Sus scrofa: one gene and its partner. Each later gene encodes a partner of the first gene's protein in a complex. Links are inferred from orthologs where the notes say so. Each region holds a gene or a part of one and is shown on either strand. Other genes may lie near its edges.

What was found. The genes of interacting proteins can lie anywhere in the genome.
Region 2: the proteins of ACVR2B (region 1) and GDF2 are in contact, whole or in part, in a crystal structure (PDB 4FAO), measured with the Homo sapiens proteins. The link is inferred for Sus scrofa from reciprocal best matches to the Homo sapiens genes ACVR2B and GDF2. Residues at the interface, in NP_001097.2 of Homo sapiens: Asn35, Glu39, Cys49, Glu50, Glu52, Lys55, Leu57, Tyr60, Ser62, Arg64, Val73, Lys74, Cys77, Trp78, Leu79, Asp81, Phe82, Asn83, Glu94, Gln98, Val99, Phe101; in NP_057288.1 of Homo sapiens: Arg333, Ile346, Ala347, Pro348, Lys349, Glu350, Tyr351, Glu352, Lys397, Ser399, Pro400, Ile401, Ser402, Val403, Leu404, Lys406, Gly410, Val411, Pro412, Thr413, Leu414, Tyr416, His417.

Annotation. Positions count from the first base shown.
Region 1 is NC_010455.5:23,241,541-23,245,815, forward strand, and holds the start of ACVR2B (activin receptor type-2B), read left to right. Parts: upstream 1-1,444; 5' UTR 1,445-1,589; coding exon 1,590-1,677; intron 1,678-4,275. UniProt on the Homo sapiens protein: Transmembrane serine/threonine kinase activin type-2 receptor forming an activin receptor complex with activin type-1 serine/threonine kinase receptors (ACVR1, ACVR1B or ACVR1c).
Region 2 is NC_010456.5:88,510,576-88,514,872, forward strand, and holds the start of GDF2 (growth/differentiation factor 2), read right to left. Parts: upstream 2,842-4,297; 5' UTR 2,661-2,841; coding exon 2,312-2,660; intron 80-2,311; exon of another isoform or gene 1-79. UniProt on the Homo sapiens protein: Potent circulating inhibitor of angiogenesis. Signals through the type I activin receptor ACVRL1 but not other Alks. Signaling through SMAD1 in endothelial cells requires TGF-beta coreceptor endoglin/ENG.

The sequences.
Region 1 (4,275 bases):
GGAACTTTCTGGGCACCATGATTCTCCAGATAGCACCTGCATTTCCCCTGGCACTTCACCTAAGGAACTTCCTTTGCAGGGAGCCCAGTGAAGAGCTCCCAGCCCTTCTGAGAATTTGGTGAAAGCTGTGGACCCTTCCCCTGGAAAATGTGAGAGTACTCAGATGCATTGCACATGCACACTTGCTGTTTGTACTGATACCTAGAAATTATGGCTCCCTGGATTGGACTCCGTGAAGTCCTGGCTGCCCTGCACATTCCCTCTGTATCAGTCCTGAGGGGCAACTTGCTGTCCTTACAGGGTACACTAGGGTAGTTTCCATACTGCTGTCTCCCCCTACCTTTCTAGCCACTGAGTATGGCTTCTTTACTTTTGCCCTATGTGACCCTGCCCCCAGTGTTCACATGCCAGCCCTGGCCTTCCCCTGACCCCCAACCAGGAAGCCCCCCCACCTCACCCCGCCGGGGCCTGTGTATTCAGCACCCTACCTGGGAGCTCAGAGTAGTGCAGGTGAGAACCAAGGGACAACAGACCAGAGCTTAGATCCATTGGCAGACACTGGCCTGTTACCAGGGACTGAGATCTGGGGCCTAGGGGAGGAAGGGGCTAATCTGGGTAATACTTTTGAGAAGGACACTGAGACAGCCCTCAGGTAGGGTCCTGGCTGGGTAGACCTCATTCTGCAACGGGGTTTCTCAACCTTGACACTTGACAGTTTGGCTCCAATGATTGTCGCCGGGAGGGGGTGGGAGAGGGGGCTGCCCTGGGTACTGTAAGGTGTTTAGCAGCATAATTCACCTCTACCCGCACAATGTTAGTACCACTTTTTTTTTTTTTTTTTTTTTTTTTTGCTTTTTAGGGCTGCACCCTTGGCACGTGGAGGTTCCCAGGCTAGGGGTCAAATCAGAGCTGTAGCTGCTGGCCACAGCCACACAACTCACAGCAACACTGGATCCACTGAGCAAGGCCAGGGATTGAGCCTGTGTCCTCATGGATTAGTTAATGGCTGAGCCATGAGGGGAACTCCACTAGTAGTACTTCAGATCAGGACAACCACAAATTCCCTGGGAGAAGCGGGGGGGGGTTCTGCAAATCACCTGAGGTTGAGAATCTCTGATGTAGAATGTTCTCATGTTTTTAAAGGGAAACACAGTTATGGGAGGTGAGGTTAGTGGCTAATGCCTGTCCTCTTCCCCTCATGGAAATCAGGGTGGGAGGATGGATTCTCTCCGAAGCCTAGGAGAGTTCTTGCTTCTCTTAAAGCTGCCCAGCGTCCGTTTGATTCGAAATCGTGGCTCGAGAGCCTTGCCGGCCACCGAGGAGAAACCTGGCGTCCTTGAGTTTTCCCAGAAGTGGTTCGGGTTTCAGGGAGGCGGCGGTTATGGGTGGCCGGGCAGCCTGCCTGCCGCCCCCGCCCACCGCCGTAGCCGCGGCCAAGGCGCCCAGGTTCACATCGTTCCTCGCTGGCCCGCCGCGCAGAATGTCAAGAAGAGCCGAGGCCTGGGCCTCAGCGCCGCCCGGCGCCCCTGTGTGCGCACCTGGCAGCCACAGGAGCTGACGCCGGCTGCGGGCCTAGCAGAGCGCCAGGCATGCCTTCCCCTGGGGAGCCGCCGCCGCCCTGGGCCTGGAACTCCGAGCCCGCGGACGTCGGGCCGGGGGCGCCGCCTCTCCCCAAAGGTAGGGGCGCGTGGTTGCGACCCGGATGGCGCCCCGACTGGAGGGTGGTCTTTACCGGCGCCTGCTGGTGGGGCTTGGCAGGCTGGCAACCTGGTGATCCTTCTCCACTCTTCCCCTGATATACTCGCGGTTCGCTGGGGAGCTTTCTGGGGTCTCCTGTCTGATCTGAACTCAACAAGACATAGCTTGCTACACTTGCAATGGATTACAGACGCTTCTTAGGGTGGGAGGAAGCACTCTTCAGTTTCCAAGTTCTCCTTGTCGTTGGGGTGTGGAGTGCTTGTTTAAAAGGTTTTTTGTTTGTTTGTTTGTTTTTGTCTTTGTTTTTGTTTTTTGCTAGGGTTGAGACTTTCTGCTTCTCATCTCTTTTGGGGTCTTTCCACAGGTGGCTCTGTTGCCACCTGTAGCAACAAAAGAATCTCAGAATTCTTTTTTTCTCTTCCTTCCTACTTTATCTCCTGTTCTTTGTTCCAGAATGGACACCCACCCCCTTATTGGGGCTTCCTTTTTTGTTTTTCTCCATCAGACTCACAGGCCTGCTATCCTAGCCCAAGAGGTGCCTGGCCCTTGAGGTCCTGGGGTGCTGCTCCTGGATGCCTAGGGTGTTGGGCGGTGGTGGTGGTGGGGATAGGGATGGGGGAGGGAAGACGCTGCTGCTCTCTTCTGAGTCTGTTTTTTAAGTTCTCAGTAGTGTTTCTGTCTGCGACAATGGTAGGTACTGGAAACAGACTGATAAGGCAGGCTGAGATTGTTTGGTGGTCACCAGTGCCTCTTCTGGCCCAGGACCAGTCCTGGCTTCCTGCTTTGGATAGCCCCACGCTTTGCCTTGGCTATTCAGTCTTACCGTACCCATACATGTGCGTTTTTCAGACTCAGGGACTGGCAGCCCTAGCTAGGTGTTTTCATTTATGGCCATGTGATTGCTGGAAGCAGGTGTTGGAAAGGAAGCTTGCCCCACTGGGCAGATGTGACCCCTCCCAGGGGACCCTTCACTAGAAGCCTGGTCTGCTACTCCTCTCTGACTGGTTTCTGGGCTGGCGCTAAGGTGTTTTGTGAGGTGAGCGCATGTTCTTGTTTGCAAATGTTCCTCTGCCGACTATTTCAGTTCTACTCTGACAACCAAGGAGGCTAAAATTAGTTCTGGGGAAGGAAAAGAAGACTGCTTGGAAACCCAAGCCCTTGGCTGGAGGATGGAAGAGGCTGTTTCCTGGGGCTTGTGGCCAGACATTTCAGAAGATGTGACCAGACCAGCTGTTGTCTGTCCATCTGAGGAGAGAGGGAGGTGCCCCTGCTTGCCTCCTAGACCCGAACCAATCAAAACAGAAGGCTGATTTGGAAGCTGCTGCTCTTGAGTGTTGATGCCAGGATGTTTTTTCCTTCTGGCTTGTGTAGTGGTGCACGGTGTTTTCAGGTATGAGGACAATGCTTTTAATGCGCTGTGTCATTGACAACCCTCTGTTCCCCTTTCTCCTCACTGATTCAGAAAGGATGCATGAGATCTCAGATCTCTGGACTGGCAGCCATGGGTTAAGAAACCCTTACTTTAGGTACTGTTTGGGAATTTTTTTTTACCCGAGTTTGTTTATTTATTTATTTGTCTTTTTAGGGCCGCACCCTCAGCATGTGGAGGTTCCCAGGCTAGGGGTCTAACTGGAGCTGTAGCCGCTGGCCTACACCACAGCCACAGCAACCCCAGATCTGAGCCACGTCTGCGACCTGCACCACAGCTCACGGAAACGCCGGATCCTTAACCCGCTGAGCAAGGGCAGGGATCAAACCTTTGGTCTCGTGGCTGCTAGTCACATTGGTTTCTGCTGAGCCATGACGGGAACTTCATCTTTCATACCTGAGTTTTGGCAGTCCCTTCAGATGCTCACAAGCCAGGCAGACCAGGGTCTCCCTGGGAACTGTTGACTTGAGTGGGTGTTAGAGTTGAGCTGTGTGACCCTAGCCTCGTAAGTAGAGGTTTGTGTCCTGGTGGCAGAGGAGATCAGGCTCTGGGGCTTGGAAAACAGGGGCAAAAAGTTAGAGGCGAATTCTGGTTTTGTTTCCTACCAGGCTGGCCCCTCCTGTGAACGCCCCACCTGAGGGTGGGTCCTGTAGGGCTCTTCTGGGGAGACCTGTCTCTCCTTCCCTGAAAACCCCCTCCCAGACCTTCCCTTATCCAGGGATCTCCTAGTTATACCCTGGTATACCTGGCTATAGGTGAGGTAGTAGTAGGCACTTTGGCCATAACTTTTCCCATTTAAGATTTTGTTCATTTTTAGTTTTATAAATAACATACCTAGATTTAGTTGCAGAAATTTAGATGTTACAGATAAAACCAGGGTCTCTTTTACCAGACCTGTCTGCCGTCTGAGTCCTCCAGAAGTCAGCCTTCTCAGGTTGGTGGATATCCTGCTAGACATTTGACCAGTGTATCTATAGAAGTACTTAGAGAAATAGGGTTTTTTTGGTTGGTTGGTTTCTTTTTGGTCTTTTTTGGGCCGCACCTGCGGCATATGGAAGTTCCCAGGTTAAGGGTCGAATCGGAGCTGTAGCTACTAGCCTACGCCACAGCCACAGCAATGCCAGATCCAAGCCTCGTCTGAGGCCTAC
Region 2 (4,297 bases), on another chromosome or scaffold:
GCCTAAGATGATGTTAAAACTCTCAGCATCTAAGTGGTATAAAAATCACCCAGAATTGTAACTTCTGAGCAAAATGAAGGTAGGTGATTATTTATTTATTTATTTATTTTTGTCTTTTTAAGGCTGCACCTGTGGCATATGGAGGTTCGCAGGCTAGGGGTCAAATCAGAGCTACAGCTGCCCTCCTACGCCACAGCCACAGCAAAGCTGGATTCAAGCCGCATCTTTGACCTACAGCAAAGCTCATGGTAACGCTGGATCCTTAACGCACCGAGCAAGGCCAGGGATCGAACCTCATGGATCCTAGTCAGGTTTGTTACCCCTGAGCCATGACGGTAACGCCGATTTTTTTTTAATGTTTGAGGTAAAAAAAATATTAACCTCAATGGCTTAGTCACATTTGGCTCAAAGAGGGCTTGCCTTTTAGCTACACAACTGTCTCACTTTCCCACTCCCCAGGCTGCTGCATGGCCACCAGCACATTTATTATACCATGGTTCGGTCACAAAGAGAGAAGTGTTGTGTTTTTTGAGCTCCTACTATGTGCCAACGTGAAGGAAGACTGGGTGCTGTTGTGAACCTGGCCATGCCTGACAGACTGAGTGCCAATCTTGACTCTCCCGAGTTCCTCTGGGCCTGTTTCCTCATCTGGAAAATGGGGCTCATCTGTCCAGCCTCCCAGGGTCGGTGTGAGGCTTTGACAAGAAGGTACATGGGACTTGCCCTACGCTGTCTCTGGCTCACAGCAGATACTCAATATTTCTGTGTCCTTCTTGCCTATGTATGCACCCTAGCACATGCCTTTCATATATCTCTGTGTCCCCTGACCCAGAGTGGACATGCCATCCTAGTTCCTGTGGTGGGTGGCGAGGCACTATAGCATATGTGAGTAGTGAGTGCAGTCTATGAGCAGTGTTTCAAGGACCCACTATGAACATGGCCATGGGAGCGCATCAGACATCTAGAAAACAAGGGCCTCCCTGCCTGAACTGCACTCAGGCTGTGTGAAGGGAAGCATAACTGGCCTCCATAGGAGTGCTGGCCACAGGCAGAGCTGGGATCAGATCACTTGTTTCTGGGACAATGACAATGCTGGGGGCGGGGTGTGGGTGGGAAGTCACTGATATAGCTCCAACACTGCACTCCTAGACTATGGGATTTGGTGATTTGGTGATTTGGTCCAGCCAAGAGAGCCCAGCCTTCCCCTAAAGCAGAGGTTACAGACATGCACCAGTGAGACATTAGCAGCATCTGGATGACCTGAGACCGCATTAAAAAAATATTAAGCCAGCGTTTAAAAATCAAGCAAGTTCATATAAACTCCAGGGACATCAGAAAATATAGCAGAAATTGGCACAATATTATAAATCAACTACACTTTAATTTTAAAAAAAAAGGAAATTAAAAAAAGAAAATACAGTCTTGCTGGGCACGTGGCATGACCACAGCATCCTTTAAATAAGGCATACATCTGTTAGGAGTCTGCAGGTCCCAAGCCCAGGAGAGAAGAGGCCCCGAGTGCTTGGCTGGTTAGAGAGAGGCTGCAGCTGCAGAAAAAGGCTGAGCTGGGCAGCCTTAACTAATGTTAGTTAAGCGGTCAGCTGCTTAACTAACATGTGAACTGGGCAAGTTCCCTCAGGGTCTGCAAGCCTTGACTCCCCTGCTCACAAGATCTTGTCACCTACGTTGTGCAAATAAATTAGTAGACTTAAGTCCTAAGTTGACATTTATTATCTTCTAGTCTGCCTAAGTCAGGATAATTATTTAATGTTTGGAAAATAAGTTGTCCTCCAATGTTTCTCTCTTGAAGGAATTAATCTGAATTTTAAACACCTTTTGATGAGAGAGAAGCAGACATTCTTTCGGTGTTCAAAAATATACCAGTTGGTTGGATGGTAAATAAGCTGTCTAAGCAGGAAGGGGACAGTATGGCAAAGAGGAGGTAGGAGAAAGGATGGAAGAAAGGGAGCTGACATTTCCTCAGCACCTCTGGTGTTAAATGTGGCTTTGGGCCCAGGGAGGGAGAATCTTCTAGAGCAGAGCTGTCCAATAGAAATGTCTGCAGTAAGGGAACTGTTCTATAATCGCCACTGTCCTATAGGGCAGCAATTAGCCATGCATGGTTGCTGGGCACTTGCATTCAAGCTAGTGAAACCAAAGAACTAAATTATTAATTTTATTTCCTTTAAATTAACATAAATGGAAACATCAAGAGTCCCATGTTTCCACTGGCCGCCATATTGGGCAGCAGCATCCATGGACCACTGAGCCCCCCGCCCCCACACCAGGCGCCCGGATGGGCTGACTCTACCTTCTACGCTGAAGCTGCGCACGATGTTGGACGCGGGGGTGGACGTCTTGTCAGTGGTGTATCTGTTGTACAGGTCAATCATGTACTGCGGTGGCTCAGCTCGGGTTTTGTCCTGGGAGGGGACCCCGCTCAGGTTGAGACTGCGCAAGAAATCCACCTTCATGTTTTCCAGGAACATCCTCAGGTCGAAGGTGCCCCGTTCCTGCTCACCTCCGGCCCCTCCTAGCAGGCGGTGGGCATCTCCCCCAGCCGAGGCCCTCACCCGGCTGTCCAGTGGCTTCCCCTGCGTGGAGCACACCAGCAGGGAGAGCGCCACAGGCAGGGCCACCCAGAGCACCCCGCGACACATCTTGGGGTGCTCTCTCCCTGCTTCAGAGACTGCGGCAGCTGCAGTGTGTTAGCGGGTGCGGGGAGGAGCCCGGAAGGAGCCGGCACGCATTGTCCTGCCCACAAGCTCTCCACCGCGCACCCCACGCGCCCAGGCCCGTTCACAGGCTCTCACCCACCCGCCGTCCCCGGAGTGCCCTCCACTTGTTCTTATCTGGCCCTTGATGCTGTGTTCAGGCCTCTTATCTGAGGGAGAGCTGCGTTAATGAAGGCTCTATAAACATCTGACAAACACACAAGACTTGTGGGAAGGACAAGGCCTGCTGCAAAGAGTCTGAATTTCTCTGTGGGGTTATCGCCCCCTAATTAGGATCCTTTCTCATTTCCTTGCCAGCTCTGTTCAGAGGCATCTTGAGACTGGGTGACATATGTTCCATCTCCTGGGCCAGGGGAACAAAGAATCCAGGAAACAAACAAGACCCAAAAGTCCTCCAAATATAGAAAAAACAGCACAAAACTCCCAGAAGACCCCTGCTAACCACTGGGACCTAGTGTGGGCAGTGGGGTGGGAACCTTATGTCAGAGTTAGTAAGAAGCCTACTTCCTGTGCAACTGCAATAAGCACTTGTGGCTCAAGTACCTTGTGTCTCGGTTTCTCGTCTGTCCAGTGAGCTCATGGGTGAATGTGGCACATAGAAGTCAGTGAGGTTATGGAGACTTTGGGTCAGACCAGATTCGGGTTCAAATCCCAGGTCCCTCACTTACTCCCCACAAGTGTGTCCTGGAGCAAGTCATTTCACCTCCCGAGTCTCTGGTTCGGGAGAGAGTTGTAAGATTTAAGGCGATTTGTGCTAAAGGTCGTGGTAGTCACCGTAAGCCCGTCAGTTGGGTGGCTGCATTCTGGCTGCCACTTCTCCACCTTGGGTCTGACTGAGAGAGGAGCTAGGGAGGCAGCCCTGTAGAGATCCTGGCCTGGTCTCTATGAACACCACTTACACGGTGAGACCTGCTGGCCCCGGGATCCCAGAGGAGCTCTGTCACTGGTCTCAGATGGGGCTGATCTTTGCTCATACTCATGTCAGCTGGGCGGCTGCATGAACCACACTTGTCAGTCAGGAGAACCGTGCCGTCTGAGACAAAGGACAGGGAGGGGGGAGCTCTGAGGCCAGGACATGTCCAGGAGACGTCCCCCTGGCCTAAGGAAGCCAACAAGCTGTGGCGCAGTCTGGGCCTGTGAGGTTCCGGGGTCTGCGACATTTTAGAACAGTGTGCCCACATTCAGACTCTGTCCATTTCCATCACTTGCGGCTTGATCACAACAAAGGATGAGCAGAAAAATATTCTGGGGGTCAACTTTGAGGAGTATTTAAAGACAAAGTTTTCCCAAGCTGGTGGGGCTCCTGGGAAGGGGTTACAGTGAGTGGAGGAGGTTCAGGAAGATGAACAAGGGGCCAGCGCAGGCAAGATCAGAGATCCCAGCATGCACCATCCCTACTGGGGGTGGGCTGAATCCAGGAAGGCCCAGTGGCCGGGTCTGGACAGAACTTGCTGTCCCTATCCCCTGGGACACTGCCAAGGAGGCTGGATGGGAAGGGTGCAGCTCCAGAAGTACTGCTTGCCGAGGAGGGCAGGAAGCATGCTAGGCTTTGAGCCAGCTCT